4 linked regions of the Tamandua tetradactyla genome follow. The protein of the gene in region 2 interacts with the protein of the main gene of each other region in a pairwise test. Links are inferred from orthologs where the notes say so. Each region holds a gene or a part of one and is shown on either strand. Other genes may lie near its edges. The genes, in order: KLF17, CIB3, MEOX2 and SERTAD1.

What was found.
Region 1: the proteins of CIB3 (region 2) and KLF17 interact in binary tests that used the Homo sapiens proteins (3 or more experiments, as listed by UniProt). The two-hybrid records come from large-scale screens. The link is inferred for Tamandua tetradactyla from reciprocal best matches to the Homo sapiens genes CIB3 and KLF17.
Region 3: the proteins of CIB3 (region 2) and MEOX2 interact in binary tests that used the Homo sapiens proteins (3 or more experiments, as listed by UniProt). The two-hybrid records come from large-scale screens. The link is inferred for Tamandua tetradactyla from reciprocal best matches to the Homo sapiens genes CIB3 and MEOX2.
Region 4: the proteins of CIB3 (region 2) and SERTAD1 interact in binary tests that used the Homo sapiens proteins (3 or more experiments, as listed by UniProt). The two-hybrid records come from large-scale screens. The link is inferred for Tamandua tetradactyla from reciprocal best matches to the Homo sapiens genes CIB3 and SERTAD1.

Annotation. Positions count from the first base shown.
Region 1 is NC_135328.1:179,820,199-179,827,106, reverse strand, and holds the start of KLF17 (Krueppel-like factor 17), read left to right. Parts: upstream 1-3,905; 5' UTR 3,906-3,979; coding exon 3,980-4,066; intron 4,067-6,908. UniProt on the Homo sapiens protein: Transcription repressor that binds to the promoter of target genes and prevents their expression. Acts as a negative regulator of epithelial-mesenchymal transition and metastasis in breast cancer.
Region 2 is NC_135337.1:94,809,417-94,816,648, forward strand, and holds the start of CIB3 (calcium and integrin-binding family member 3), read right to left. Parts: upstream 3,006-7,232; 5' UTR 2,592-3,005; coding exon 2,514-2,591; intron 1,581-2,513; coding exon 1,546-1,580; intron 1,358-1,545; exon of another isoform or gene 1,344-1,357; coding exon of another isoform or gene 1,312-1,343; intron 1-1,311. UniProt on the Homo sapiens protein: Acts a an auxiliary subunit of the sensory mechanoelectrical transduction (MET) channel in hair cells. Plays a role in regulating hair cell MET channel localization and function.
Region 3 is NC_135327.1:108,683,758-108,690,973, reverse strand, and holds the start of MEOX2 (homeobox protein MOX-2), read right to left. Parts: upstream 3,023-7,216; 5' UTR 2,688-3,022; coding exon 2,174-2,687; intron 1-2,173. UniProt on the Homo sapiens protein: Mesodermal transcription factor that plays a key role in somitogenesis and somitogenesis and limb muscle differentiation. Required during limb development for normal appendicular muscle formation and for the normal regulation of myogenic genes.
Region 4 is NC_135342.1:23,657,775-23,665,612, reverse strand, and holds the start of SERTAD1 (SERTA domain-containing protein 1), read right to left. Parts: upstream 3,013-7,838; 5' UTR 2,847-3,012; intron 1,242-2,846; 5' UTR 1,239-1,241; coding exon 531-1,238; 3' UTR 1-530. UniProt on the Homo sapiens protein: Acts at E2F-responsive promoters as coregulator to integrate signals provided by PHD- and/or bromodomain-containing transcription factors. Stimulates E2F1/TFDP1 transcriptional activity.

The sequences.
Region 1 (6,908 bases), on a different chromosome or scaffold from region 2:
AATCACGTCCAGGCCTGTGTCTTCAAAATCTGTTTTTCCCTTTTCTAACCTCATCTCCACCTTGGTCCACCATCCATCTTCACTACTGTCTTATTCAGTTTTCTCCAGCATTTCCTAAACCTGCCCAGTGCATTCCTGCAGTCCATTCTCAAAGTCAACCTGTTCGAAAATGATTTCATCAGCTGTAAACATGCCCTGAATCTGCTCCTCTTCTGATATTCTCTATCTCACAGAGCAGTACCAACAACCTCCCAGGAACTTAAGTTAAACATCTGGGAGTTTTCCTTGACCTCTTCTCTCCCATCACATTAATCCAGTGCAACACCAAATTCTGTCTATTCTTTTGCCTTAGAGTCACTCACATTTGTCAACTGCATTCACATTACTTGTTCATCTTATGTTTACTCAATGACTGTACCAGAACCTGTCGTGGGTTCTAGGGAATCAAAGATCAAACAGTGTTTCTCAAACTACCTGTGCTGAAGGATTTTTTTTTGTTCTTTTTTCCTTCCAAACCGTTATGGACCAAGTCTTTTGCAAAATAAAATAAAAATAAATTACTAGAAAAATAAAATGAAAAGGACATAGAGAATATAAGCTCCATTTTTTTCATTATTAGATTCAATAAACATAAAGTTACTATAAAATTGTTATAAAAGTTTCTACATGCTTCTCTCAATTTTGTATTTATCTTATCACAGACTGTTAAAGTTTCTAGACTGGCATCATCCATGGACCACACTTGAGTAGCACTGAAAAGAGAAAGGCCAAACATATGGGGGTGTGTGTGGAGGGGCTTAGAGTGAGAGAGGGAAGGCAGAAAAGGAAGACTGTTAAGCAAATAAATAATGACCACATCATCAGCCACAACACAATTAGTTGATATTCAGAGATGTGGAAGTATGAAGGAGGTACTTTGCCCAGCCTGGGTATTAGGGAAGGCTTCTAATAGAAAGTGATTCTGGAACTTAAATCTAGAAGGCAGGTAGGAGTTAGTCATATTGGGGAAACAAAATGTGGATTTGGAAGGATGCTCCAGGCAGAGAAGCAAGTTCTGGAGACACTAAACATATGGTTTGGGGGATTATGTTTCATAGGATTTGATGGGCTGTTTTTCTCTGAGCCTCAGCATCGGTTCCCACATGTATAAAATAGATGCTTGCTATTCTACCTGCTGTGATAAAGCAAGTGTCCTTGCTCTCAGCAAAGATTCACCTGTCCATTTCCTGGGTCTAACCCCCTCTTAACGTACCAAGGACTTTGCTCCTACAATGAAGCCTTATTTATGTGTTACAATCAGATTCTCTGAACTGAGACTCAGAATCAAGGGATTGAGAAAAACCCTAGAATGAGTTGAGACTCAGCATCAAGGGATTGAGAAAACCTTCTCGACAAAAAGGGGGAAGATTGAAATGAGACAAAGTGTCAATGGCTGAGAGATTCCAATCAGAGTCCAGAGGTTATCCTGGAGGTTATTCTTATGCATTAAGTAGATATCACCTTGTTATTCAAGATGTAATGGAGAGGCTGGAGGGAAATGCCTGAAAGTGTAGAGCTGTGTTCCAATTTCTTGACGATGATTGAATAATGATATAGCTTTCACAATGTGACCGTGTGATTGTGAAAACCTTGTGTCTGATGCTCCTTTTATCTACCTTGTCAACAGATGAGTAGAACATATGGAATAAAAATAAATAATGGGGGAACAAATGTTAAAATAAAATTAACTTGAAATGCTAGTGATCAATGAAAGGGAGGGGTAAGGGGTATGGTATGTATAAATTTTTTTTTCTGTTTTTGTTTTATTTCTTTTTCTGAATAGATGCAAATGTTCCAAGAAATGATCATGATGACAAATATGCAACTATGTGATGATATTGTGAATTACTGATTATATATGTAGAACAGAATGATCAAAATAGGAATGTTTGAGTTTGTTATGTGTTTTTGGTATTTAAAAAAATAAAATAAAAAATTAAAAAAATTAAAGAAATATCAATTAAAAAATGATTCTCCCTTATTGGAAGATACCTCTCAATTTATACCATGCCTTCCCTTCCAAATGCCACCTCATTTCTCTTTTCTCATTCATAGCAAAACTTCTTTGAAAGAGTTGTCTACCATGTTTCAACATCTCTACCTCATCATCTACTGTTCACTTCTCAACCCCCACCATCACTTCTATCCTCACCATCACTGTTTCTGTCAAGATCACTAATGACTGCCACCTTGCCAAATCCAACACTTATCTCAGCAATATTCGATGCAATTGAACAGTCTCTTCATTAAATACTTGTTTGCTCTTGGCTTTTCTTGAAATAGAGTCTCCTTGTTTACCCTTACCTCTTTGTTTATTCCTACTTGGTCTCTTCAGATGACCTCGCCCTTCTGTTAGGCCTTAAGGGCAGAGAGCCTGAGGTTCTGTTCTCAATTCTTCCTCTAATTATCTCCCTACTTGATATTATCCACTCCAAAGGCCTTATAACAACTATTTCTAAGCTGATAACACCTACATTTACAGCTCTGACCTCTTCCTGAGCAGTTTCAATAGAAAACTCAAAATCAACATGTCTAAAAGGAAATTCTTGTCCCACTGCCTCCAAATCTGCTCCTCTTCCTATCTTTCTATGTCACCAAATGGTATCCAATTGCCCAAATCAATAATCCAGGAGTCATCTTTGATTCTTCTTTTCCTCCCTGCCCTTTTCTGATACATTAACAAGTCCTGCTCTTTTTAATTCCAAACTATTCTCTATTCACTACTTTTACTTACCACCAAAACACTGACATCTGTTTCTTGGAGTACTCCTTTAGCTTTCTAACTGGTGTCCCTGCTTTCATCTCCCCATCTTAATTATAAGCCTCAAAAGAGTCAAAGGATTACTTTAAAAACCTAAATCAGATCATGTCAATTTCCTGCTGAAAATCCTTTAGTAGTTTTGCATCACACAGAATAAAATTCAAACTACTTTCCATGGTCTCCAAGGCCCTACACTCTTCTGTTTCTCCCTATCTGTCTGTCCCTATTTTATAACACACTTTCTCTTGCTCCCATCTCTGTTGTCACATGGCTTTCCTATTTTCCAAAATGTCAAGCTCTTTCTTGCCTCAGAGTTCTGCGATCTTCCCTTTTGGCATTTAGTTCTCAGTCACATTTTATTTCTTTTTTTTTTTTTTCTGTTGCTCAACACCATCTGAAATTATTTGAATTATTGACTTTATTATTCATTTCTTGTCTGCCCCTTTAGGATGGAAATTTCCTTGAGAGCAAGGACTTGTTCAGTCTTGTTTGTCATTGTATCTCTAGTTCTTAAAAACGGTATCTGGTCCATAGCAGGAATAAAGGCATTCCACTCTTTATCTGTGGAATAAAAAAATTATGCCCTGGTCTTCAGGTTGGACAGGCATAGGACAGATAGAGGTGTCCCGGCCGCACTAGAAAAGACCTGCATCTTCTGGAACGTAGGCCAAGAGTCCTGGTCTGGTGGAAGTGGAGATGGGAGGTCTCCGGTCTCCAGGGGCCCCACGTCTGACCCTGAGACCCTCTCCAGCCTTCTTCCCTCATTCCCCTACTTGGAACTCATGGAGACCTGACCAGAATCTGAAACCTCGGGATCCCAGGTCCCCACTTGGGCAAGTAGAGATGCTCATATTGACGCTCATATTGACGGATGGATGGGGTAACGAGGGCAGGGCAGGCATAAAGACTTTAAGAAGTGGTAACTCTGAGGTAACCTGTCGGTGACCCTACCTATTTTCTGGTAGGCTGGAGCAGGAAAGGTGGGATGGGCTGCTATTGGGTGTGACGGGTGGCGGGGGAGGGGCGCGTGGATCCTTGACTCCGCCCCCTGGAACTACGGGAACTAAACGCTGAGCGCAAGGATTGTGGCGTGGTAGTGCCTGGAGACCTGAGTTGCGTTGCTAAGGCGGTGGTCCCCAGCTCTGGTCTGAAGTGGGTCTGGACCAGCGTACGGTCCCGATGTGTAGCCGATCCGAGGCTGAGATGGAGCAAGAGGCCGTAGAGCTGAGCCAGTGGCAGGAGGTGGCCCAGTGCCAGCCCGTGGTGGTGAGTCGGGGCTTCAGCTCCAGGCCAGGGTGGGACACGGAGCCAGGAGAGAGAATCAGAAATCTAGGGGATTAGAAACTCAAGGGAGGGGGTTAGGAAGGCAGGAATGGCAGATCGGGTATATAAATAACATGTCATTTATTTAATTACTTAATATTTGCTGAGTATTAGTCTGTGCTGGGTGCTGCGGGTCAAAGTTTCCAGGAAACGTGAGAGGCAGGACAGGAAATTGAAGACAGCTGGAAGTGGGTAGGGAGAAAAATATAATTAAACATCTATTGAAAGCCTACTAAGTGCCAGGCCTTTACCAGGCACTGGGACTACAGTAGTGAATTTATTGTAAGACAAGATATTATATCATTTTATAATAAATACTTAACTCAATGGTTGGAAATGCACAAACTACTATGAAGGGGAAGTACAATGTCCATGGGGAAAATAACAGAGATGTTTGATGCAATTGTGTGGGTTAGAGAAGGTATCTGACATTTGGTCTGAAATTGAAGAACTGGGCAGGTGATGGTTTCCAGGCCATGAGACCAGAAATTCTTGGAGGAATTGAAAGATAAGACTGAGACCAAGGCTGAGATAATATTGGTAGAGTGATCCAAGGGGAAGGGAGGCAGGGGCCTCAGATGCCACTGAGGTCAAGGACCCGCAGTGCTTAATTTGGTTGTTATTCCAAGAGTAGTAGGAAATCACTGATGAGTTTAAGTATGAGCAGTCACAATTAGATTTGCATTTATTAAAGAGTACCCTGGGGGTAAGGGCAGGATGCAAGGTAATAGTTAGAAAGCTATTGTGAAAATCCAGGTCAAAATTAAAATGGTGGTCTAACTGGGGAGGTGAGAGTGGAGGTAGAGAAAACTGAATCGAGTCTAGAGATGTTTGGGAACTAGTCTCCCACAAGAATTAGTCATTAATTGAATCCAGGTGATGACGTAGGCAGCCAAGATAACTGACCAGGTTTCTGGCTTGTACCGTTGGGTGAAAATGGTGGTGTAGCTCCTGAAAGAGCAAAGGATAAAAAGGAAAAAAGTTAATGTTTATTTGTGTGTGAATTAAAGATGATCATGAGTTTCAGACAAAGACCATTTAAAATGCTTGTTGGATATCTAAATGGACCTGAGTGGGAGAGGTCTGGACTGAAGTTGTAGATTTAGGAATAACTGGAATATAAACAGAAATGGATTTATTGGTATGGAAAAGACTGGCCAGAGAGAGAGGAGTAAGAGAAACCTCCAAAGGAGACTAAAAAGGAAGAGGTCAGATAGGAAGGAGACAAGGATAGTATGTCAAATGTAGTGTTGGCAAAATCAAGGGAAATACACATTTCAGGAAGAGTGTGACCAACAGTCTTAGAAGCTCCTGAGAGGTCAAGCCTGAATGTATCCCTTTGATTTAGTGACATCGAGGTCATTAGTGGCCTTGATGTTTTATGAACGTTGATTCTATGGAGATTTGGGGGGTGGAGAAACAATGCAGGAACAATGAGGTGAGGTAGTGGTAAAAGTGCTGTGTTCAGACAACTCTCAGGAGTTTACCTGTGAAGGATGGGGTAAAAAAATAAAGGCCACTGGTGAGAGGTAAGGAAGAGGCTGAGCACCCAAAATACTCCCATCCGGTAGGCATTCATCTGATTCCTGTTCTATGCCTGACCTAATGTTAGTTGCTGAGACTATAGTGATGAATACCATAGGGTCTCTCCAACCTTTTTTGGGGTTAAAAAAGAAAGAGAACATTTTCTTACACTGTCAAAATGACATTATCAAACCTATCAAAATTAACTATAGTTTTTTAAATCATCTTATTTAATGAATAGTCCTTATTCAAATTTCCCTAGTAGTCCTAAAATTTCCTTACAGCCACTATGCCAAAATCAGGATCTAATCCAAGATGAGGCGTTGGATTTGGTTCTTACATCTCTGGATCTTTTTTAAATGAGAATAGATTTTTTTCATGACTCTGACTTTGCATTTTTCATGACCCTGAACTTGTAGAATGTTTCTCTTTTGGATTTGTCATATGGTATCAGTTATCTTGATCTTTTAATCCCATTTCACTTCTAAATAGGAATTTGGCCTAAAAGTTTAGCTGGATTTAAGATTTTTTTTTCTTTAAGAAAGGCATGGCAGGCTTCATTTCACATTACATATGGACGCACATCTGGCTTCTCACATTTGGTGAAACTAGGTTTGGCTTTTGGAAAAGAACTGGACTTCTGTCACTTTAGGCTCATGGATTTTTATAGATCAACATTTTTGATGCTCAAATTCTCACAAATTTGGTCAGTGAGAACTCTTTCAAGCCAGCTCCTGTATCCTTTTGACACAACCTAATCATCTTTGAAAGTGTCCTTATTTTCTGGTATGACAAGATATACTGAGCTTATTTATCCCAATCTTGTCTCAGAGTCAGGAAATTCTCCAAGGATCGTTGTTCCTTTTAGTGAGAGATGAAGTTAGAGAACAAAATCTGGACACTCGGGATTCCATTGGAATGATAATTGCTTCTATTGGCTATTTCGATTGACATAGCTAGAAAATATGTATTTTTTCTTAAATTAGGAATTTATATAGGATATTTCCAATTTAAATTTAGCAGGTTTTACTTCTGTGATTTTTCTGATGTATGCTGAAAATCTTGATTTTTCACACCATCGAGACTTATTTTTAAACTATTTTATCGTGAAAAATAACACTCAGGAAAGTGAATATAAATGTACAATTTTATGAATTATTATAAAGTAAAAACCTGTGAAACTACTGCTCAGTCCAAGAAATAGAAGTGTCAGCACCTCTAAGCTCCTTTCAGTGTTCCTCTATATGCTTCCTCCCCTACT
Region 2 (7,232 bases):
ATGCGGAGAGGTGCTGGTCCCTAAGAGCTGGGAGCCTTGGGTACATCCCTGAATCAGACAGAGCCAGGCACAAACACCTCCACTCCCCTGGGTCAGGGCCAAGGTGGAGAGAGAACCCCAGGAATAGAGGAAAGAGGGCTGGGAGTAGCAAACCAGGGAGGAGGCAGGGCCTCCTGGAGGAGGGGGCATGTGCTGGGCTTTGAAGCATGCATAGGAGCTTACCAAGCAGAGGGAGGTACCAGAAGGAAGGGAGCTTAGGGTTAGATCATTTCATACCAAACATTCAGAGAATCCAAGCCAATCTGTGAATCTCTGGATATCAACACAATGTCTGCAAGACTCTGCCTCTAAAGAGCCCCCAGCCTCCCACCTTCCTTCCCTCCTTCCATAACAGGAGGCAAAGTTCTTGTAATGGAGCAGAGCACAGTAAAAAAGCTAATATTCAGGTCTTCCCAAGGGGGCAAATGAAGGCATTTTGCAAAGCACTGAATGACACACTTGCTGCCTAGACTGCGAGGCTAGCTCTCCACTATGATGCCCTCACCTGGTGACGACATACTGTCCCTGGGGAATGCTGAGAGACAGCCTTGTTAGAGACCACCCTTGATAAGTCTGGGGGTTCCCAGGATGCTAGGAATTGTCCCTGAGGGGTGCAGGAGCCCTTGGATTATATGGCAGCTCAGAATTTCAGTCTCAAACACCCAAGCCCCTGCCAGGGTCCCCTCAGGAGACAACTTGAGCTGGGGTTTCTATGTGGCCTGGAGCAGGTCCCTCTCCCCCTCTGAGCCTTTTCAAATCTGTTTGAAAAGCAAGGAGCTTGGGCAGATGAAATGTCCTTGGGGCTCTGGCCAAATGCCCTGAGGCCTGTGGTCAGCTTGACCCTGTCTGAACCTCAGTTTCCCCACTGGTAATCTGATCACGATGGCCAGGGCGACCTGGAAGAGACCTGCAAGCTGTGTCCTGCCCAGACAATGGGGCTGGCTGGCGGATGGTGCACCCATCAATAATGGATGCCCCATGCCCACACAACTGGGACCTTGGCGCCAATCACTCTGCAGACAAAGCCCTGCCAAGCTTGGGTTTCACAGCTCCAAGTTCATGGGTCAGGACATCTGGACAATGGCCACCTCCCTGAACCCCTCGCCTTGGTGCCAACGCCACCACCAAGACCAGCTCTGGGCGGTCCCACCTGAGCCCCCAGCCTCCAGCCTCAGCACCCCCACCCCGCACCCCCAGCCTTTGCACACCAGCCTCAGGGAGGTCATTCTAGCTCCCCAACCCCAACCATCCCTCTCCCCAGTGCTCACACACCCGCTGTGGCTCCCCTCTGCCCTGGGAGACATCCACGCTCGTCCGCCTGGAAGCCGTGACAAGGGGACAAGATGCAACTTCCCAGCCTCCCCGCAGCTGCCACCACCCACTGCCCAGGGCTGCGACCCAAACCCCCCGTTGGCAGCTGAGCCTTGGGGTGCATTCAGCGGGTCTTCCCCAACAATGAACAGTAAGTGGTCCCCAGGCCTCCCCTCCCTGCCTCCCGGGACTGACCGCATGATCTCCTTCCGCGTGAAGAACGTGCAGTCCTGCGGAGAGATTTGGGGGCTGGGACCCAGTTCTGCTCCTGGTTCCTTCCTCCCGACCCCCCGCCGCCCACACCCCCCATCACGGACTGGACACCCATGCTGGAGGGAGGCTGTCACCGCCTCTCAGGCCCGGCCACCCGGCGGGCCTGTCGCCCCTACCTGGTACGCCTCGAGCTGCTCGTGGGTGAAGACGGTTTGCTTGTTGCCCATGCCGAGACCCGGGAATGAGCCCTGGGGACCACCGGGCTGCAAGGCTGTGGCTCACGAGGGTGTGAGCAAATGTCTGTGACCTGGCTGTCACCTGCCCACCCAACCTGTCACCCCCAGCCTGGGCGAGACTCAAGTTACAGCCCAGCTCCCTGGCGACAGCGTGACGGAGCCCACGGCCACCGGGCGAGGGGGGGTGGGGCCCAGGGAGCAGCCTTGGATGGGGAGACCGCCTCCATGGCCACCGGGGCACCTGGGCAGGGGGCGCTTTCAGGCAGGGTGGCCGGTGACGCTGCAGCCACAGCCTGATTCGAATTCCAGCGCTCTGCATCCTTAGCTGTGTAGCTTTGGGCAAGTTGCCTAACCTCTCTGAGTCCCATTCGGAAGATGGAAATTATACTAGTGTCTACCTCATAGGGCCGTATTGAGGATAATGAGATCATTAACGCAGCCACAAAAAGTATTCATTGCCCATTGCCTGTGAGCCAGTTCTAAGCATTGGGGGACACAAGCCAGGAAAGGTCCCTGTGGTGTGCATTGGTCATTTATTTTTAAATTATTATAAGTGTTCTGTTCTAACTTGAGAAAAGTAATCCAAGGTCTAAATTAGAAAAACAGTGAGTTTAATAACGTCAGAGATCTTTGCAGCAGGACTTGTCAGAGCCTTTAATGGACAAATGCGCAGGTGCATTCTTAAAGGATAGATGCAATGTAGCAGCTACCTACCTTATGAATATCTGGAATCCTCTTGGGCAGAGTATCTGGGGCAGGAGGCAGGTCTAATGTCCTCGGCCTGGCTGTCATGTCCTCAGAAGTTTCTCGAACCTTGTCGGCTTTCTGTGCCCCTCATCTCCTCAGTCTTTTCCTGCTCCCCAAACTGCTCTTGGGTCTTTCCCCCAGCCCTCATGTCCTTGGCCTGGACCTCTGCGGTTCTTCCTCATCAACCATCGTCTACCCAAGCGTGTGACGTCATCTCTAATGTGGCTCCAATCAGGTTTTAAAAGACCCCCTTGGAATGAAAAAAAGGGGTGGGGGCAAAAGCGAGTGCTGGCGACGATGAGCAGCCAGTGGAGCTCTTGTCCACTGCTGGTGGGAATGCCAAAGGGCTCAGGCCCCCTGCGAGGCGAATTGGAAGTTTCTTACAGATTTAGATGTGCCCCTACCAAGTGCCTCAGCACAGGAGAAGATATTTGCAAAGGATGAGCCTGATAAAGGGCTAGTATCCAGAATACATAAAGAACTCTTACAGTGCGACAATAAAAAGACAAATACAGTGACAAATGGGGCAAGGACATAGGTTACCAGAGGACCAGATAGGGTGAAGGAAGGGGCTGTTGAGGCTTAAAATGTACCTGATTCTTAATTGGAATGTTGGAAGTGTCTGTTAATTGGTAGTGGTGATGGTAATACGACAGTGTGAGTGCAATTAACATTACTGAAGTATACACCTGAATGTGATCTAAAGGGGAAATGTGAGATTGCATGTGTACTGATAGAACAAAAACTAAAAAAAAAACCTGCACTGCACAGAGAACCCTAAGTTAAACCATGGACTTTAAATAACAGTGCAACCATAAAAATGCGCTGTCGTCATTTGTAACAAAAGTTCTACACCGATGCAAGGTGATGGTGGTGAAGTGACATATGGGAGTCTTGTATTTTATGCATGATTATTCCATAAATCCAGAATTTCTCTGATAAAGAAGATGAAATGTAAAAAAAATTGATGAAGGATTGGATTTTTTTCTAAAGATATATAAATGGCCGATAAGCCCACGGAAAGATGCTCAACATAATTAATTATTAGGGAATTGAAAATCAAAACTACAATGAGCAACTGCTTCACACCCACTGGAATGGCTAAAACTAAAAAGACAGATAATACAAGTGTTGGTGAGGATGTGGAGAAATCGCAAACCTCATACATTGCTGGTGGGGTTGCAAATAGGGCAGCTGCTTTGAAAAACAGTCTGGCAGTTCCTCAATGGGTTAAACCCCTAGTTACCATATGACCCAGCAATTCCACTCCTAAATAACTACCCAAGAAAAACAAAAACATGTGTCCGCACAAAAACCTGGACGTGAATTCCACAGAAGCACTTTTATAATAGCTAAAAAGTGGAAACAACTCAAATGTTCACCAATTGTTGGACAGAGAAACAAAATGTGATCCATCTATATAATGGGGTATTATTCAGCCATAAAAAGGAATGAAGTTCTGCTATTACATTCTCTCATCTGGGAAACCCCAGTACCTTCTCAACCATCGGGGGCTCCTGAGAATATAGACCAAGCCCTGGATTTGGGGGCTTGCCCTTAGGAGAGTCATTTCCGTACTGGAGAAGGTAGGACTACCTACAATGAGGCCTAAGAGTTGCTTCCAGGAAGGAAGCCTCTTTGTTGCTCAGATGTGGCCTCTCTCTCTAAGCCCAGTTCTGCCAGGAAAATCATTGCCCTTCCCCCTACGTGGGACATGACATCCAGAGGTGAAAGTCTCCTGACAACATAAGGCATGACTCTGGGAATGAGTCTGGCCCTGACACCATGGGATCAACAGTGCCTTCCTGACAAAAAAGGGAAAAGAAGTGTAATCAAACAAGGCATCAGTGGCCAAGAGGGCTCAAATAGAGTCAACAGGCTGCTCTGGAGGCTGCTGTTACGTGGTTTCAGTTAGATAGCGCTGATTGCCATGGTTTGCTAAACCCCAACCAACATCACTCCTGTTGTCTCTTAAGAATACCTGGGGCTCAAAGTAAGACTCTATAAGTTTCATGCACTAAGTTGCTTTCTCGAAACCCATTAAAGGCACAGAAGGTAGGTTCGTTGGGGTGACATTTTAGTAGCAACCTCAAGGAATAAAGCACAGGGGAGGGAGTTTCTGGCAGAGGGAACAGCAGATGCAAAGGCCCTGGGGCTGGTTCTCAGGCAATTAAAATGTCTTAGATATTTCAACGGTTTATGGCCCTCCAAAACTCAACCTTATTCATGAGCATTCAACTTCTTTTTTGGAATTAAATGAAATGATAACTTTTCCTTAAGGGGAGGGTGCGGTGATAATGAATTAACAGTGGCGCATCTGACAGCAAATGACCTCGTGTTGTGTGAAAGCAGTGTGACAGTGAAGGCTGTGTGATATGGTAAGAGCCAGTCATTGAGGACGATCTGTGTATCCATTCCAGGCCAGCTAAGGGCTCTATTCCAGCTCTCCTTCACTCAGGGATCCCGGCAGCTCTATCAGAAATACTGCTCGTCATGGTGGCACAAGGACAGGAGACCTGGCCTCCCTCGGTTGCCTCTTTAAGCTTCTGCCTGGAAGTCAGATGGGGCACTTCCTCCCACATGGCCTCGGCCGAGCTCGGCAGGGCAGGGACGTGGGATGTGGGAACCCCTCCCACGTGTGCTGCTAGCAGTCAGATTTCATTGAAATGTTATTCTGCATCTGCACTGCATTGTACTTTTTCAAGACTGGTCCGCAGGGTGGCCTGTCCGGGTTTTAAACCTCTGCTGGCTAAGTGTCAGAAGCTACAGTTTTATTGTAGCTCTCTATGCCTCGGTTTCCCCATCTATACAGTCAGAATAGGGTGGCCATGAGAATAGATGAGATCATCCATACAAATATTTAGCCGTTGTGTTTGTTGTTGTTGCTGTTATAATCATCCCCATTTTATAGAAGAAGAAAGGGAAACTCAGAGAGGTCAAGCAACTTCCTCCAGGACACACAGCATCAGAAGTGCAAGAGATGTCTCTCCACTCTCAGGCCTAATCCCTGGAGCCGGGCTGCTGGGTGCTGGGGGAGAGTTTTCCCCAGCTGAGTCCGTCCTGTCTCTCTCGGAACTAGTTGATTCTGGTCCGTGGACAACACTCTCAGTAAGCTGTCACAGGTAAGGTCGCCTCTCTTTTAAAATGAAAGTACTGCAGCTGCCATCTCCTGATACCAGGAAGCCCATTCTTTCTTCTCGAGGGATTCCTCGGCCAGCTCGAATGCCGGAGGGTATGCCTATGAGGGCTGGCTGATCGCTTGCTGTCTCCTGCCGGTAGGACTGGGGACAGCAGCTACTGTGCTGTCTCTGTTCTGATTCCCTACATCTGGGGATGCCTGCTCCTCCTCCTTAAGCCTCCTGACCCCCACAAAAGATGCACACAAAACTGTCTCTGGCACATTTGGGGCAACAGCTCCAAATCAAAATGCACAAACGTATATATCCTGCACCTAGCAATGCCACAGAGTCAGCCCACTCGCGAAAGTTGGACAAGATTTGTGGGTGTGAAATGGCCTTCATTTGGGGTGGGGTTCGCTCAGCTGGAGGACAAACGCACCTCGGAAGGAGGTGAAGCTGACGCGCATCTCCCGCTTTGCATTGAGCTACAAGACATTTTGTTGTGTGAAAAGATGAGGGCAGAGATAAAAAGGGCATCACACAGATAAATAACGGTGTATATACACTTTTGTGTTGAAAAGAATGATTGTGAAATCATTCACCATTTTGTGAGGAGCAGAAAGTAGGTTTTCCCTTTTCTTTTCTTCCTTTTGACCCTTTCTGTACTGTTTGGTTTTCTTACATGTGGCCGTGAACATGTATTTATCAGGGATTATGAAAGATTTTTCCTGGTTTTTAACCAGGGCTGGGTGGGAGTGGGGGATGCTTAACTGGTACAGAATTTCTGTTCGGGGAGAGGAAAAAGTTTTAGTAATGGATGGTGGTGATGATAACACAACATGTGAACATAATCAACACCATCAAAGTGTAGGCGTACATGAACATGGTTAAAAGGAGAAAGTTTAGGTTGTATATATTTTACTAGAATTAAAAAAATGTTAAGAAACAACATAGTACTCTACAACATAAACAGTGAACCTTAATGTAAACTATGGGCTGTAGCAAATAGTACAATATTAATAATATTCTTTCATCAATTGTAACAAAGTGGAATTTGTTACACTAATACAAACTGTTAATAAATACAAACTATAATAAATGTCCACTAATACAAACTGTTAATAAATACCAATCAAAAGCAATGGGTTCTCCGGGGAGAAATTCAATTTCCCCCAAGTTGAATTCTTGATATTCTCACAAGCAGTGTGGACAACCAAAGCTATAGGCTGAGCCCCCAGTCTTGGGGTTTATTCACATGAAACTTAACCCCACAAAGGTTAGGTCAAGTCTACTTAAAATTCAGGCATAAGAGTCACCCCCAAGAGAACCTCTTTTGTTGCTCAGATGTGGTCTCTCTCTCCAGCCAACACAACAAGCAATCTCACCACCCTCCCCTGTCTTCGTGGGACATGACTCCAGGGGTGTGGACCTTCCTGGCAACGTGGGACAGAAACCCTAGAATGAGCTGAGACCCAGCATCAAGGGATTGAGAAAATCTTCTCGACCAAAAGGGGGAAGAGTGAAAGGAGACAGTGTCAATGGCTGAGAGATTCCAAACAGAGTAGAG
Region 3 (7,216 bases), on a different chromosome or scaffold from region 2:
CCATTCAAGCTATAGTTTATCAATACTTTATGTAAGTTATACAAACTTGTTTCTCCAGTTTTTTAGGTATCAGCTTCAGCACATAAGACTAGGTTTTACTTCGCTATGTGGTTATCTCTTGCCAAAAGGGAATACAATGATGAATTATCTAATTTTCTTAAGAAAGTTGTCAGTTAAATAATTTAATGGAACCATTTTTTAGATCCCATTTTCTCTAATTACCTCAACCAAAATAACATGTGTCTGTAGGAAAACTCAGCTTGACCTAAAAATCTTAGGTTAATACAGCATGCATAAAGAACAATCTATGATACAGGTTTCTCACAGCAGGAAGTAAAATGAACAGTAAAAGCTCCTAGTAATTGCAAAGTATTCTGATCAATCTGAACTGGGATTAGCTTCCCAAAGTTACACTGATACCAAATGGTCCATCTATGAAATGGTCCCTACATACTAAAAGTGGCCTTTTAGTGCAATTTATTCACATACCTTATAATCATCCCAAGTGTAAAATCACTGGTTCATAGTCTCATCATATAGCTATGCATTCATCACCACAACCGATTTTTGAATGTTTTGGATGGCCTTTTCTACTTTTATTCATATTCTTATTTTGGGGGGAAGTAATGAAAACGATAATGAAAAGTGGCCTTTTTTATTCCCTCTGATGATGATGGAAACCTTGTTACGTATTAGGCTTTTAACTCACTGTCTTAATAGAGTTTCACTTAAGGTTAAGAAATCCACTAAAATGAGTGACACTACCAGTAACTTTCTTAGATATAAGCTAAATCGTGAAGGAACATTAAAAGTTCACCCCTGACCTTGGAAAGTAAAAGCCAGATTTTGAGATTATGACCCAAGAACACATCCCATACTAAAGCAGAACAATCGACCCCATCGCTGCAGAGTGTGAAGTACGGGGCTCACTCATTGGCATGGGTGTGGGGGTCGCACCTACAGTTTTATAACCAATTAAAATTTTGCAACACTTCAAACCATTAGCTGTGATTACCTTCTAAGACTATTAAACCGATCCCACAAAGGGAGAAAAATATGCAAGTATTATATTAAACAAATGACAGCTTCGGAAAAGATGGAACTCAAGTTGCATGGCAGCTGCAGAAATACAACTTAGAACCTCCTTTATTGTAAACTCGATTTCAGAAGGATACAGATTGGTAAGAGCTTTTAGGAGAACTTGGCGTTTTTCTGGATTGCTACAATGAACTTGGCAGTTGTACCTTCCAGCATCCGAGTTCAGGAAGGCTCCTTTGCGTGGCTATTCAACACCCGCGCGCAGAAAAGCGCCTTCTGCGCCCATCTGCGCACAGGAGCCCTGGGCCCGCAGGGAGCCAGCACTACCGAGCTGCTGTTCGCCTCCAGTGCCTGCCCTGGATAACACTCAATTTGGGGAGGATTTCTTTTCACTTTCGAAACTCCGCGTCTTCACATTCGCACCACATGAATATGAACTACTATTATTGTCTTTCCTTCAGAGTCTGAACATCTATTTATTTACTTACATATCTGCACATTCCTTAATCTTCTAATTCCTATACTGTTTTCCTTCCCAAGCAAGGGGAAATTTTTGCCATTTGGAATAGGGTGCTATTTAAAGAACTCTGAAATCAGAATTAAGGGGGAAAAAAAACCTTGAACTTTTTTTTCTCATGCGCTCTGCCAAGTTCCATTGCAAGTTCCAAATATTGTGCAATAATTCGGAACTCCAGTTAACGGTGGGAAAAATCGAGCCACTCTGAGTGGGGAACTTGCAAGGGAGAAGTCAAAGGGTGGCACCCACTCGCAGTCTCCAGCAGACGCTGCATCCCGGGGACACTCCCTTTCCCTAGCCCTCCGAAGGAAGGACACGGTTCGCAAATCGATTTCTCACACAGACACTTGTCCTTTTTTTCTCGACCCTCTGGTAAACTAGTTGGGAACCTGAGAGAGCTCAGGGCAGCTGGCTGTCTGCGTACGTTCTGTCCTGGGAGAAACGTGTGCCTTTGGCCCCCTGCCTCCCCGCCTGCTGCTGACACAACCAGAGCAGCCCGGCTGGATTCGGCGGCGGGGACGCCAAGGAAAGACAGGTTGCATCTTTCGGCCGCTCCACTTTAATTGAGAGAAATCTTTGGTGGCGTTTCCCCGCCCCCTTCACAACTGGTGCGCTTACCTGAGCTGTCGCTCTTCCTCTTGCCGCCACTTCTCTTCTCCGCCTCCGCAGGCGACAGCGCCTGGCGGCCGTAGTCTCCCGGCGCGCACGTTGCACCCGTCGGGGTGTTGGAACCCAAACTGGGAGAATTGGAACACAGGACTGGCGGGCTGTTGCCCAGCTCCGGGGGGCCTCCGGAGTCCGGCTGGAGGCACAGGCTGTGCCGAGCCGCGCTCGGGGGCGAGGACATCTGCGGGAGGTGCCAGCTGGTCTGCAGAGCCTGGTGCTGCTGAGGCTGGTGGTGGTGGTGGTGGTGGTGATGGTGGTGGTGGTGGCCCCTGGGATGCTGGCTGGCGAACATGCCCTCCTCGTTGGGGTATCCCGCGATTATGCAAGAGGAGGAAGAAGTGGAGAGCTCGGGGTAGGACATGTGGTCAGATCTTCCATGAAGGGCGAGTGAGGACTGGGAGAACGGGTGCAAGCCTTGCGCCGCGGCGTGAGGGCTGCGCAGGCAGCCGAAGAGCGGGTGTTCCATAGCATGCGCGTCTCGGCTTCCAGGCGGAAGACTTCGCGAAGGTTCCGAACTCCACCAGCCTCTGTCGGTTTTCACTGGAGACAGTGGGGTTTTTTCCCCCCCTCCCAAAGCAATAGCAGCACACGCTTCTGCAGAGCGTGGATAACCCCGGCGCCGAGCCCTAGCGGCCAGCCTTCTCTACGCTTACACGCTTGGACCTGGGGGCGCTTCCCTTCGAACCACTCAGAGGTCTAGAGGAGGAGAGGTTCAGCCAAAAGAAGGTGGTCCCAGAGAACCGCTTTCAGGGGGAAGCGGCTCTGGGAGGTTATAAATAGAGTGTAATGTGAGCTGGGGGCTGGCTCAGGAGCCCGGCGCTGACCACAAGCAAACTCCCTCCAAACCGCTCGCTCAGTCAGCGCGGCGCGCTCGGAGCTCACTTCCTCCCGGGGCTGGGCCCCCGCCGCGCGCTCAGACCCGCCGCCCCGCCGCAGCCCCGACGCTCGGCTGCTCTGCGCTAAGCTCCCGGCGGCAAAGGCGCGTGACGCCAGCCAGCTCCAGGCCAGCACCCAGTGCCCCACTCGCCCAGTTCTCTTTCAGTGTCACGTAGGAACTGTCACCTGCAGGAAAAGCTGGGGAGGGGGGTGGGGCGCCCAGCCTTTGAGGAACACGGAAAGGCCGATAGGGTTGAGGGAAAAGGTGAGCGCTAGTTGGGCTCGTACTCTGAAACTTGAGTTTGCAAAATTTCTCGTGCCCTGCGCCCCGGACGCAACCGCGCCCTCCCCATCGCATCTGGTCCCGCCGGCTGGGTGGCGACGGGCTCCGACGCCGGGGCCGAGGTTGCAGAGGTGCGCCCGGCCGCGAAAGGCTGTCTTCGGTGCCTGCAGGAGAAGGCCTGGGGAAGGTGGAGGAAAGCGTGGGCCCGAGACATTGCAGACACACAGGTCCTGACCTCCTCACCTGCGAGGCCGGGTGGGGCCTCCCTTCTCCCCGCTCCTCGCAAACGCCCACCTCCACCCTGTCCTGGACCCGCTCAATTCCCTAAACCACTTGTCCACCAAAAACTTTTCCCGGGTCGGGATTATTCCGAAGCGCTCACGTCTCGGCCACTTGAGACGTTTTGATTATGTGCACATTTCCAGCCTTTGCCCTCGGGAGCCTGAGCCGCCCAATTCCCCTCTTGCAACCCACCTTCTCATCCTCTCAAAATAAATCAGCTGCTCGCACCCCTCCCTACCCTCCCCCCCCCATTATGGATCCATTTATCGAGAAATATTGCGTTCCAAAACCCCACTTCCCCTTCCCTAAACTTAAGAGCATCAGGTTTTACTGGTTATAATTTTGCATGCCAGAAAACTTGCCACCAGTGAGTACCGGCGAGCGAGGGCTGGACTCGATTTTCCTTCCAAAGAGGGCCAAGTGTTGCCTCTAATACTGCCACTTACATAGGGGACGACCCGGTGTGCTGGGGCCGAGTCTTGCACAAGACAAGCGAGCGGCGCGTCTTGAGCTGCCTGAAGTGCGGGTCCCCTGACACTTGTAGCATCAGGATAGCATCTGCGGTCACATATCTCGCCCGCGGCCTCGAGCGAGCCACTAGCAAAGGCGCCGGGTTATTTTCATTGTCTCAGGTGTCCAGAGGGCGGTGACCAGAACTTTGAAGCTGTTAATGAAATTAATGGGGACAGCAAACTGCTCCAGCCATCTGGTTTGAGTTATGAAAAAGTATTGATTAACCTTTAGCGGTGTCCCCAAGGCAGAACCTTTTCCCTTTTGCAGTCCTTCCAGCTTCAGCCTGACTCCTTTTTCCTTTTAAGTCCTACTACAGTATAGAGGCGTCGCAATAAACTTTAACATCCACGTGAAAGATCGAATTATTTTCCATTGCTTAGGGGTGTGGGGTGGGGGTGATCAGGAATCCTGAGATTTGTAAGCGCTGCTTTCTTTAACGGAAATTGAGCCCTATTTTGAGGGAAATTAGTTTTGCAGACTTGGTTTAAAAAAAAAAAAAGCGAAAACTTTTGTTCACCAGCTGCTCAGCTTTTCAGTCTCCTTCTGAGCTGGACCTGCTGCAAGCGTTTGACGGTAAGACTTCCCTGACCGATATTTCGAGAATCTAACATTGTTTTAGGCTTGGACCGGGGATGTTCTTCAGGTCGCACGTTTCTAAAGGTTTTAAGCACGCGGAAGACGGCGGCCGGGGCTCAGGTCTTAAGACTATTTCTTCTGCCACTCCCTATGTCCTTGGCTCTTTCATAGTAAAAAGAGGGGGTATATTCTTCCAATAACGACGGAATATTTTTTGAGTTTTTATTGTGTTTATTGTTTCAATGTGTGCTCTGATATTAAAAGTTGAAGTACAAAGAGCAACACTAAAACTTCCCAACTCCAGTAGCTTTTCTGTGGGTTCTGGGTGAAAGCATTAAAGACTTTAACGAAAGAGAAATTTATAAAATATAGTGCTGTCTATTAAAAGCATTGTGAAAAATGTCAGAAAAGACTGATTAAAGAAAAACTTGATCAACAACACCAATAATATCATCAATAATGATCCTTTTGGTTTACATTACCGTGGTTTAGAAGGAGCCGAGCAACTGAGAAATGAATGAAATTGAATTTAACCAGTGTGTTGCAGGTGACTAGCAACTAGCAACCACACAGACTTTTCACCTCCAGGAGTTGTCATGTCTCCTTGAACCTGTTGGTGATTGTGCTGGCTTTTTTCTCATTCAAAGTGTCAGATGTTAACAACATGTCCAGAAACATCTCTACACTCTGTCTCAGTCTCTGGAACTGTGCAGTCAGGAGTCTGGAGAGGAAAAATGTTTGAAAGACAAGGAGTCTTTTTTAAAGACACACAACTAAAACAATGCTCATAAGGAATGTCTTTTTATTGAAGACATAAAGCATTCAATGTCAATAAAAATTACAAAGTTCAGATTTCCAATGAAATACATAAGAAAAATTCTATTTGAAAAGTAAGTATGAGTTATAAAAAGGACTAAAATACTAATTACAAAGTATTGATGCATTTAAAAATTATATGACTTTTCTCTGAATTTCTAAATATATGTTATTACATAAAGTTTTTTTTAATCCTCATTTCATAGATTAGTGGGAACAAGATTAATGATTTTTACTTTCTAGGCTATAGAGAATTCTAAGATATTTATAATAATGACAGGAAAAATGTTCCTAGCATTTCCTATATGGCTGTTAAAGGGCCCCTCCATACCTAAAAAAAAAAAAACCCACTGTTGAAAGATGCCTTTTTACCTCTAATGGCTAATATGATCAAAATGGTAAAAATTATTATAAGATTTCTGCAACATTCATTTAAAACTATATATGGGAAAGAATTTATCCTATATTTACCATATATTCAAACATTCCTGAAAAAAGTAAAACAAAAAATATTAAAATTTCATGCAAGATTTTAATATGTTAGCCTGTTGTAAAGAAAATGTGTGTACGGAAAACATAAGCTGCTCAGCTCTTGTAGGAAGCATAATCAAAATGATTTTAAACAGGTACTTCATAGTTGATGTGTGTATATCTATTATGCCCCCTGCTTAAATGAAATGATACTAAATAGTGAAGGCAGAAATATTTTAAAATTAGGACTATTTTATTTTAAGGGATTAGAATGCATATCAAGCAACCTGAAAAATTTAAGTTACAGTTTATTTTATATTCATGGTGACTCCCGTAAGAGTTGTAATTCTTTTATTTGTTTGCAACTTGAGGTATAATGAGAATTAAAATATTTAAAGTAAAAATGATCTCCAGCAACAGGCATTATAAAACTATACTTTGCATTTTACCTGATAGGTAAATGTTTGCTTTTGTAACATATAGTGATGAAATATGAATTTAAGTGTAGCTCATTAAACTGAAACTGGAATTGGTCTCTGAAAGTGTTATTGAAGATAAGAATACTATTTCTGCTATACCTTCCCAAGAAATAACATTTATGGCCTTTAGTTGGTCCTTTTGAAGTAAGGCATTTTGAAAATGCCTTATATTTGACAAATACGTCAAACATCCAGTGGCAATTTATGTGTTTTATGATACACTCTATTTTTCAAAATAAGGAATTGCCTTTCTCTGGGAGTTATGCATTATAAAATTTAACAGAACAATTTTGCTTATGCATGTTGTTTTGTGATTTAATATACTTTTATTCATCAACTTTACATTAGCGATTATTTTTTGCATAACACTAATTGGCACTTTCGCAATAAAATTTCTTACATTTCTGCATATACAAGAAGTGAATATTTAAACATTTTTGAATGGTATAAGATAATATCCAGTTTACTTTGTCTTTTTAGTTTCTATCTCTTCCTACATTTAGATTTAAAATTCTTTCAAAATTGGTGACTTTCCTCAATTCATGTATCAAGTATCTTGTAATAAATGATAGTGTAGTAAGTATTAAATATAACTCTTTTGTCTAAAAGTCAAGTGACAAAAGACAACCTATAAAAATTAGAACTGCTTTAAAAATACTTCAGAAAACCAGCTTTCAATACAGATTAGGATATATAGTT
Region 4 (7,838 bases), on a different chromosome or scaffold from region 2:
AATATCTGTCTTATGGGGTTGTTATGAGGATTAAATGAGTTAAGACATGGCAGATGCTCAGAACTGTGCCAGATACACAGTACTTACTCAATGCATGTTGGACATTTTTATCTCACCCTCACATTAGCCTAGAGAAATAAACACACAGACATAAGATTTCCCATGACTGGTTTTAATGTCAAAAAAAAAAAAAAAAAACTGATTGAAGCCTCTTCTCACATCAGGGAAGGAATATTCTGGGCTTTGACCCCAAGGGATTCAGCCCAGCACTGGGCCTGATCCAATGAAGTTCCAGCCACCAGGCCCCATCATTCCATCATGAGGGGCAAATCCCAGACTCCTCCACCAGCGCTAAGAGAAGAGGACAGATGTGAACCTGCCCACGGCTGGATTCTGTCTTTCCAAACTTGCCAATGGCTCTCTCTTTGTACCAGAAAAGTCAGCCGAGTCTTTGCAAGGAGAATCGGTCCAGCCACCGGGCTCAATTTTTTATACCAGAGAATCATTCCCAACCCTGAGTGGGGGGTGGCTCAGCGCCCCGGTCCTGGTGGCCGCTCCAGAGCCTGTGTGCCCACCAGCACGTCCATGAGGTAGTCCAGCTCAGCCTCATCCAACTCTGGAGCCTCCTCCTTGTCCGGCCCATCCACAGGGCCGGGTTTCAGGACCTCGGAGGCTGGTGCCCAAAGTTCACTGTCGTACATAGAGGTGTCGATGTCCTCAAAGAGGCCCTCGAGCCCATCGTCCAGCAAACAGCCAGTGGCTGGGCCCAGCAGGTCCAAGGCACCCAGGCCAGGTGGGACCCCCCCATTGGGGCGGCCTGGTGGCCCCTCATCCACCAGGGGTTGGGGTGCCTGGCTCAGGCCCTCAATGTGGCTGAGGTCTTCCAACAGGCTGGACATAGAGGCTGAGAAGGCGGCATCTGAGCTGGCCAGCAGGCTGTCAGCCACACCAGCAGCTGCGGGCGGGCTGGGCACAGGGGGCAGGGCAGCGGCAGGTGCCATGGACGCCTGGATGCGCCTCAGCGTGTTCACCACCAGCACCAAGTGCCGGAGGTCCGGCTCACTCTGCCGTAGGCTGTGGTGGAGTTTGAGCACCGAGAGGTCAAACAGAGAGCTGGAGGCCACAGCTGGGGGTGCCTGTGCCACTGCTGTGTGGCCGGGATCCAGCCACCAGGTGTCAACTGCCAAGGCTTCCTTCTCCACCTCCTCCCGCTTGCGCTTCAGGCCTTTGCTCAGCATTGTCTGTGGGGAGGGAGGGGGTCGTTCAGTAACAGGAAGCAAGCATCAAGAGTATAAACCCCCGGCTGGGCACTGACAACTGCCATCTGTGTGACTCTGGGCAAGTCACTTTACCTCTCTGAGCCTAGGTTTCCTTAGGAAACCTTTAAGTAGGGGTGATATGATAGTATCTTCATCAGAGTTGTTTTAAGGGTTAAATGAGGTAATATACCAAAAAGCAACAGTGCCTGCTATATAGAAAAGTACTATTAGTAATAACTATTACTAATTTCTTCATTCAACTGTGTGAAATGGCCAATATTCAATCTTTTTTTTAACCTACACAAGTGCTGTTTCACATAGTTCAATCTAGTATTTATTGAGTGTCTACTATGTGTCAGACAATAAATTAATAAGCAAATATACAGGAAAATTATTTAGTGCTAGGAAGACACTAAGAGATTCAGGGTCGGGGTTTAAGTAATCAGGGAAGGCTCCTCTGAGGAGTCCAGCAGGAGAAGGGGTCAGCCATGGGAAGGATCAGGGGAAAGTATTCTGGGAAGAGGGAACCACAAGGAAGGCAAAGAAAGACCCGATGCTGCATGAGCCTTGTACCCTAAAAGGTCAGTGTGGTTGACCCACAGAGTGATATGGCAGTAATGAGGTGGGGGCCTTAGGCAGAGGCTGGGTCGCAGAAAGCACCGTAAGGAGTTAGGATTTTGCTGAGTGTGGTGGGAAGGGAGCGGTGCGGTGGACATGCGCGGAGGACCAGGAGAGTGGGGACCCCTGACCTCTAGACCCAACCTGGAATACAAGGGGGTAGTGGGCATGAAAGGAAGTTGGCCGACTCAGGATGTATTGGGGAGGCAGAGTGGACAGGATTTGACAGGAAACGCTGATCGGGTCGGGGGGTCACTGAGAGAAGTTTGAGGACCCACACATACCCTCCGCGAGTTGTGTGTGTGTGTGTGTGGGGGGGGGGGTCCTTGGAATTCTGGAACCCTGGCCCAACCTGCATTTTTGACCCAGGCCAGCAGGCAGGGGCCAGCCCCCAGACCCTTGCCCAGCAGGACCTTAAAAGGGTCCCCCACCCTACTCAAGACTGGGTCCTCTCCCCCTTTCCCGCAGACCCCAGAGTCCGGAACCCCTGGAATGTAGCCCCCACCTCCGACCCCGCCCCTCCAGCGCCCCCTGGCGGCAGCCAGTCCGGCTTTCCCCTGGGGGTTCCGGCTCCTCGGACCCCGGGACCCTTGACACTGTCTCGCCTCCTGGCTTTCATTTCTCCCTGCCGCTCGGGGTCGTGCGGCATCCCCGGCGGGCTGTTCTGCCCTCCCCGCCTCTCGTTCGCTTCCGGAAGGCAGTGGAGGCGGCTCCTCCTGAAGCCGCGGCGGCGGCGGCGGGGGCGGGTGAGTCACGTAGCCGGAGCCAGGGAGCCGGCGCCTCCGCCCCCCTCCCGGGCTGCGGCGTGATTCACCCGGCCCGGCCGGGCGGACCGCACGTAAAGGCCCCGCGAGTCTCGATCCCTGGCAGCTCAGGCGCGCACCTGCCGGACCCGAGGATCAAACCGGCTAAGCGATCCCGCCACCGGTGTCCCTTCGGTCCCCAGGCCCCTTCCCTTCATTTACATACCCAGTTCACCAGCTGCCAATCAGAAGGAAGAGGGAGCCACCCGCGGCCAATCAAGAAGTGGCGGCGGCAGCATTGCTCGCTCGCTTGTCTTCAGCAACCAGCGCCTAGGTCGCGAGACGCAGCTCTGACTTCGGCTCACGACTCCAGACTCCCGACTTCCCTTAGGTCCCGCCCACTCACGTGGAGGCCCCACCCTCCACCTCTCGGATTGGTCCTGGACGGTGGTAGGCGGAGTCTGTAGGGGCAGGTTGGAAGGGAGGGGAGGGTGGCTTCAAGGCGCATGCCTACCTCTGCCCGAGGGAAGGAGAGTTGGCTCTGTACCTCGCCGGACAGTAGCTCGGAGGAAAGCTAGCGTCTCAGTGCAGGTACCTTGCATCTCAGTGCAGGTACCTTGCATCTACCCATGCACCTGCCGAACCCAGCAACTGAGCTTCTTGCCCATCAAGTCCCAACAGGAGTCTGTACTCTAGGTTGGGTGGGTTCAAATTCTAAACTTACTCCAGGCTGACCCTGGAAAAATGCTTGACCTGTCTGAGCCACACGCAGTCTGTCAAATAGGGCTCGTCTTGCCTACCTCTGGAGGGTTGTGAAAACTAAAATAAGATCGTATTGTCCGCTTGGCAAACGGTGAACAATTGGACTCGATTGTGGTTAGAAAGGGAAAGAGGAATGCCACTGGAGTCGCACCTGGGATCGAATCCCCAAGTAACTGTGTGACCTTAAGCAAATGTTTTCATCTCTTGGGGTCTCAGTTTCATCTTTAAAATGAGGAAAAATAAGAGCATCTGGCTCAGAGGATTGTTTTGAGGATTAAATAAAATAATTTGTGTAAAATGTTCAATGCAGACAGCAACGTGTCCTTTCTTTAGGGGACACACGGGGATTGGCTACAGGTAGGCAGGAGTTAAATTCTTGTCCCATAAACTAACAGTGGGACTTACCTTCTTCAGGTAGCTCACTTGCTAATATTTCTGAAACTTTGGGAAGGAATATGTTAGTTCCTATCAATAAAACTCCTGACCAAAGAAAGCACTCAAAAATGTTGCTGACTTTGGTAGTTAATTCAGGCAGGGATTATGAATGGGTGCTGAAACCTTTGGATGAAAAATTGGTAGGGATCTTTTTAAAAAATTTTTTTATTGAGATACTGCATGCAAATACAGTCCGTCCAAAGTATGCAGTCAATGGCCCACGATCTCATCACATAGTTGTGCATTCGTTACCTGATCATTTTTAGAACATTTGCATCATTCCAGAAAAAGAAATTAAAAAAAGAAAATACTCATACATCCTATACCACTTACCCCTTCCTCTCATTGACTACTAATATTGCAATCTACCCTCTTTTTTTTTTTGCCCCTTATCTCCCCCTATTATTTGTTTATTTTTAGTCCTTATTTTTTTATTCATTTGTCCATATCCTGGATAAAGGGAGCATCAGACACAAAGTTTTCACAATCACAAGGTCACATTGTAAAAGATATACAGTTACACAGTTGTCTTCAAGAATCAAGTCTACTGGAATACAGTTTAACAGTTTCAGGTACTTCCCTCCAGCCACTCCAATACATCATAAACTAAAAAGGAATATCTATATAATGCGTAAGAACAACCTCCAGGATAACCTCTTGACACTGTTTGAAATCTCTCAGCCACTGAAAATTATTTTGTCTCATTTCTTTCTTCCCCTTTTTGGTCAAGAAGGCATTCTCAATCCCATGATACGGGGTCCCTGCTCATTCCAGGGAGTCCTGCCCCATGTTGTCAGGGAGATTTACACACCCCAGGAGTTGAGTCCCACGTAGCAGGGAGGGCAGTGAGTTCACCTGCTGAGTTGACTTAGAGAGAGAGGCCATATCTGAGCAATAAAAGATGGGTGACTCTCAGGCACAATTATAAGTAGGTTTAGCTTCTCCTGTGCAGGAATAACTTTCATAGGGGTGAGCCCCAAGATAGAGGGCTCAGCCTGACTTGGCTGTCCCCACTTCTTGCAAGAATATCAGGTATTCTCCAGATGGGGAAGTTTAATATTTTCTCCTTTCTCCCAGTCCCCCAAGGGGACCTTGCAAATACTTTCTAGTCTCTGTCCAAATTACTCTGAGATGTACTGGAGCACTACACAAGGGAACAGAATCTTGATGGGCTCGAAAACATCACTTTACAGGTAATTTGCTAACTGCAAAGGGGAAAATGTCCTTTTATGATGGGGAGCTCTGGTGCTCCCCACCTTAACCAAGTGATGAAATTTTGGATCCCCAATAGCGGTACACACCAACACAGGGAGCCAGCTGATAGGATGCACTAGAAGGTACACACCATCCCCCATGTCTCACTGTTATTTGCATAAATCACATTGCATGAAACCTCTAGACACTACTTCCACCTTATAGGAAAAATTAAATATGAACAGAGACAAATCCAAAATGGGGGACATTCTACAGTACATCTGGGCTGATCAGCACAAAACTCAATGTCAAGAAAACACGAGAAAGGAATGGGGTGGAAATCTTCCAGAATAAATGGCACTATGTAATTTCTTTATTACCATCAAATCTGTATATGAATTGGATCCTCCTGATTTGGAATTTAAAAACACAGTTACTAAAGATATTCTTGGGGAAACTGGAGGAATTTGAATTTGGACTGACTGTTAGAGGTGATATAATAGTATTCTGTTAATTTTCTTAGGTAAGAAATAGTGTTATGATTTGTAGATGAATGTCCTTTCTCTTAAGAATAAGCCTGTTGAGCTGTGGGTAGAAGGCAAGACATCTGCAGTTTACTCTCCAATGGTTCAGCCAAAAGTGTGTGTGTATGTGTGTGTAGAAAGCAAATTGAGCTAAATGTTAGCAATTATTAAATATAGGTGGGAGGGTAGTGAGGTGTTCAGTATACTTTTTTTTTCATCTTTCCTTTCCTATGTGCTTGAAATTTTTCATATTAAAAAAGAGTATAACATACTAATTTAAACCAGGCCCCTACTAGGCAAATTCACATAATTTACCCCCACAATGCATTTTTATGACCTGAAGAAAATGAGACTCGGAGTCTGAAAATGGCTAGCTCTAGGTCATACATGGAAGAAGGACTCATAGGAGTTATTTGATTCACCAGCCTTTGTTGAACACCTAGTAGTCATGGGTTCTGTTGTAGACCATGGGCGTATATCACACATTGTCTCCTCTCATGCATGGGCAAAGGTAGCAAGAGAAAATCAATATGAAAAAAGTACATTCATTTATTCACAAATATTCATGTACTGAGCACCTACTCTGTGCCAGACACAGTTCTAGGCACTGCAGGTATGACAGTGAAATTATAGATAAAAACCCCTAGTGAAAGGAGATGGGCAATAAACTTAAAAAAGAAAGTGTATAGTGCCTTAGAAGGTGATGGTGCAAAGAAAAATAATAAAGCCAAGTGGGAGAAGAGGAATGACAGGGTGTGCAGTTTTAGATATGGTGGCCGCAGGAGGGTCTCTGAAGAGGTGACCTTTGAGCAGAAACCGGATGAAGGAGAATGAGAGGGGCAGCAAAGCTCTAGGGGAAGAGTGTTCCCGGCAGGGGGAGGAACAGGTGCAAAGGGCCTGAGGTGGGAGTGTATAGAGCCTCTGCCCGGCAGAAGGCTTTTGTAGTTGGGCTGTAAGTTGCAGGGGAGGGAGTCAGAGAAATCACCCGGGCTTTTCCGCCACTTGAAGATCCTTTGATTTTTATTTTGAGTGGGAATGAGAAGACCCTGGGAGATTGAATAAATCGGGAGGCTATGTTCCTCTTCTGTTCAGTGACTTGAAGAAAATAAAATGGAATGGGATAATAGGGAGGCCTAAGGAGAGACTCTGTAGCCAGTGCGGTCCGGAAGGGCCTCCCTGAGGAGGTGACATTGAAGCGGCGACCAGAGAGTTGAAGAAGGAGCCAGAAATTCACAGGACTGGGGGAAGGGAGGAGGAGCGGCCGGGCCTTGGGAAACGAAACCTGAAACGAAGCCTTCAGGCCTGGCAGGCCCAAGAGGAGCTTCTGCCAGCTGGTGGGGGTGGGGGTGGGGGGGGGAGGTAAAAAAGTGGGTGGAGGCGCCCCGCCCCCAACCGGCCGACCCGCCCGGCCTCCGGAGTGCGAGGAGGCGCCAGGCGGGGGTTCCCGGCCGCGGCTGCCCCGCGGGTATCCGGCCAGCCGGCCCACGGCGGAAGGGTGGGCAGGTGGGAGGGGCCAGGCCCTTGGCCACGCCCCCAGACGAGCGCGGGCCCATCCCCCACTGCCGGGCGGCTGGCGAGGACAGGTTGGGAGACATGGACTCTGCCCTCAGGGAGCAGGTTCTCTCTGCAGGGCTAGCCTTTCCACTTCCCGCGCCACTGCTTAAACGGGTGCGATATTAGGGAGGGAGCTTGACCTCTCTGAACCTCGGTTTATTTATCTGGAAAGTGGGGGCGCTACTCTTACTGGCCTCAGTGTGACTCTAACAGACTAACGTGATTCCCTTTCATTATCCTTAAGACAGCCCAAAACAGTCTATTAAAGGGTGAATCAGGTCAAGTCCTTCCTCTGCCTAACACCTTCCCATGGCTTCTATCACTCATGGTAAAGCTAAAATCCTCCTACAAGGCCGGATGGGATTTGCCCATCGCCATCCCCCCTCACCCCTCCACTTCCCCCATCTCCACCTCTCTCATCTCACTTCCTGGGGCCCTTCCCCCTTGCTTGTACTATTCCAGCCTCCTCACTGGCCCTCACACTTTCCACTCACTCTGACCACAGGGCCTTTGCACTGGCTGTTTCCTTGCCTGCTTCATTACTCCTGCAGAGATCCACACAGCTCACTCCTCACCTCCTTCAGGTCTTTACTCAAATGTCACTTCATCAGTGAGTTCTTCTCTGGCCATCCCTTCTAAATAGCAATGCCCCATCACCCCCATCACTTTCCTCCTTTATTTTTCTCCACAGCATTTATCACCTTTGGACCAACTGTGTATTTTACTTCTTGAGCCTGTTTCAGTCTCCC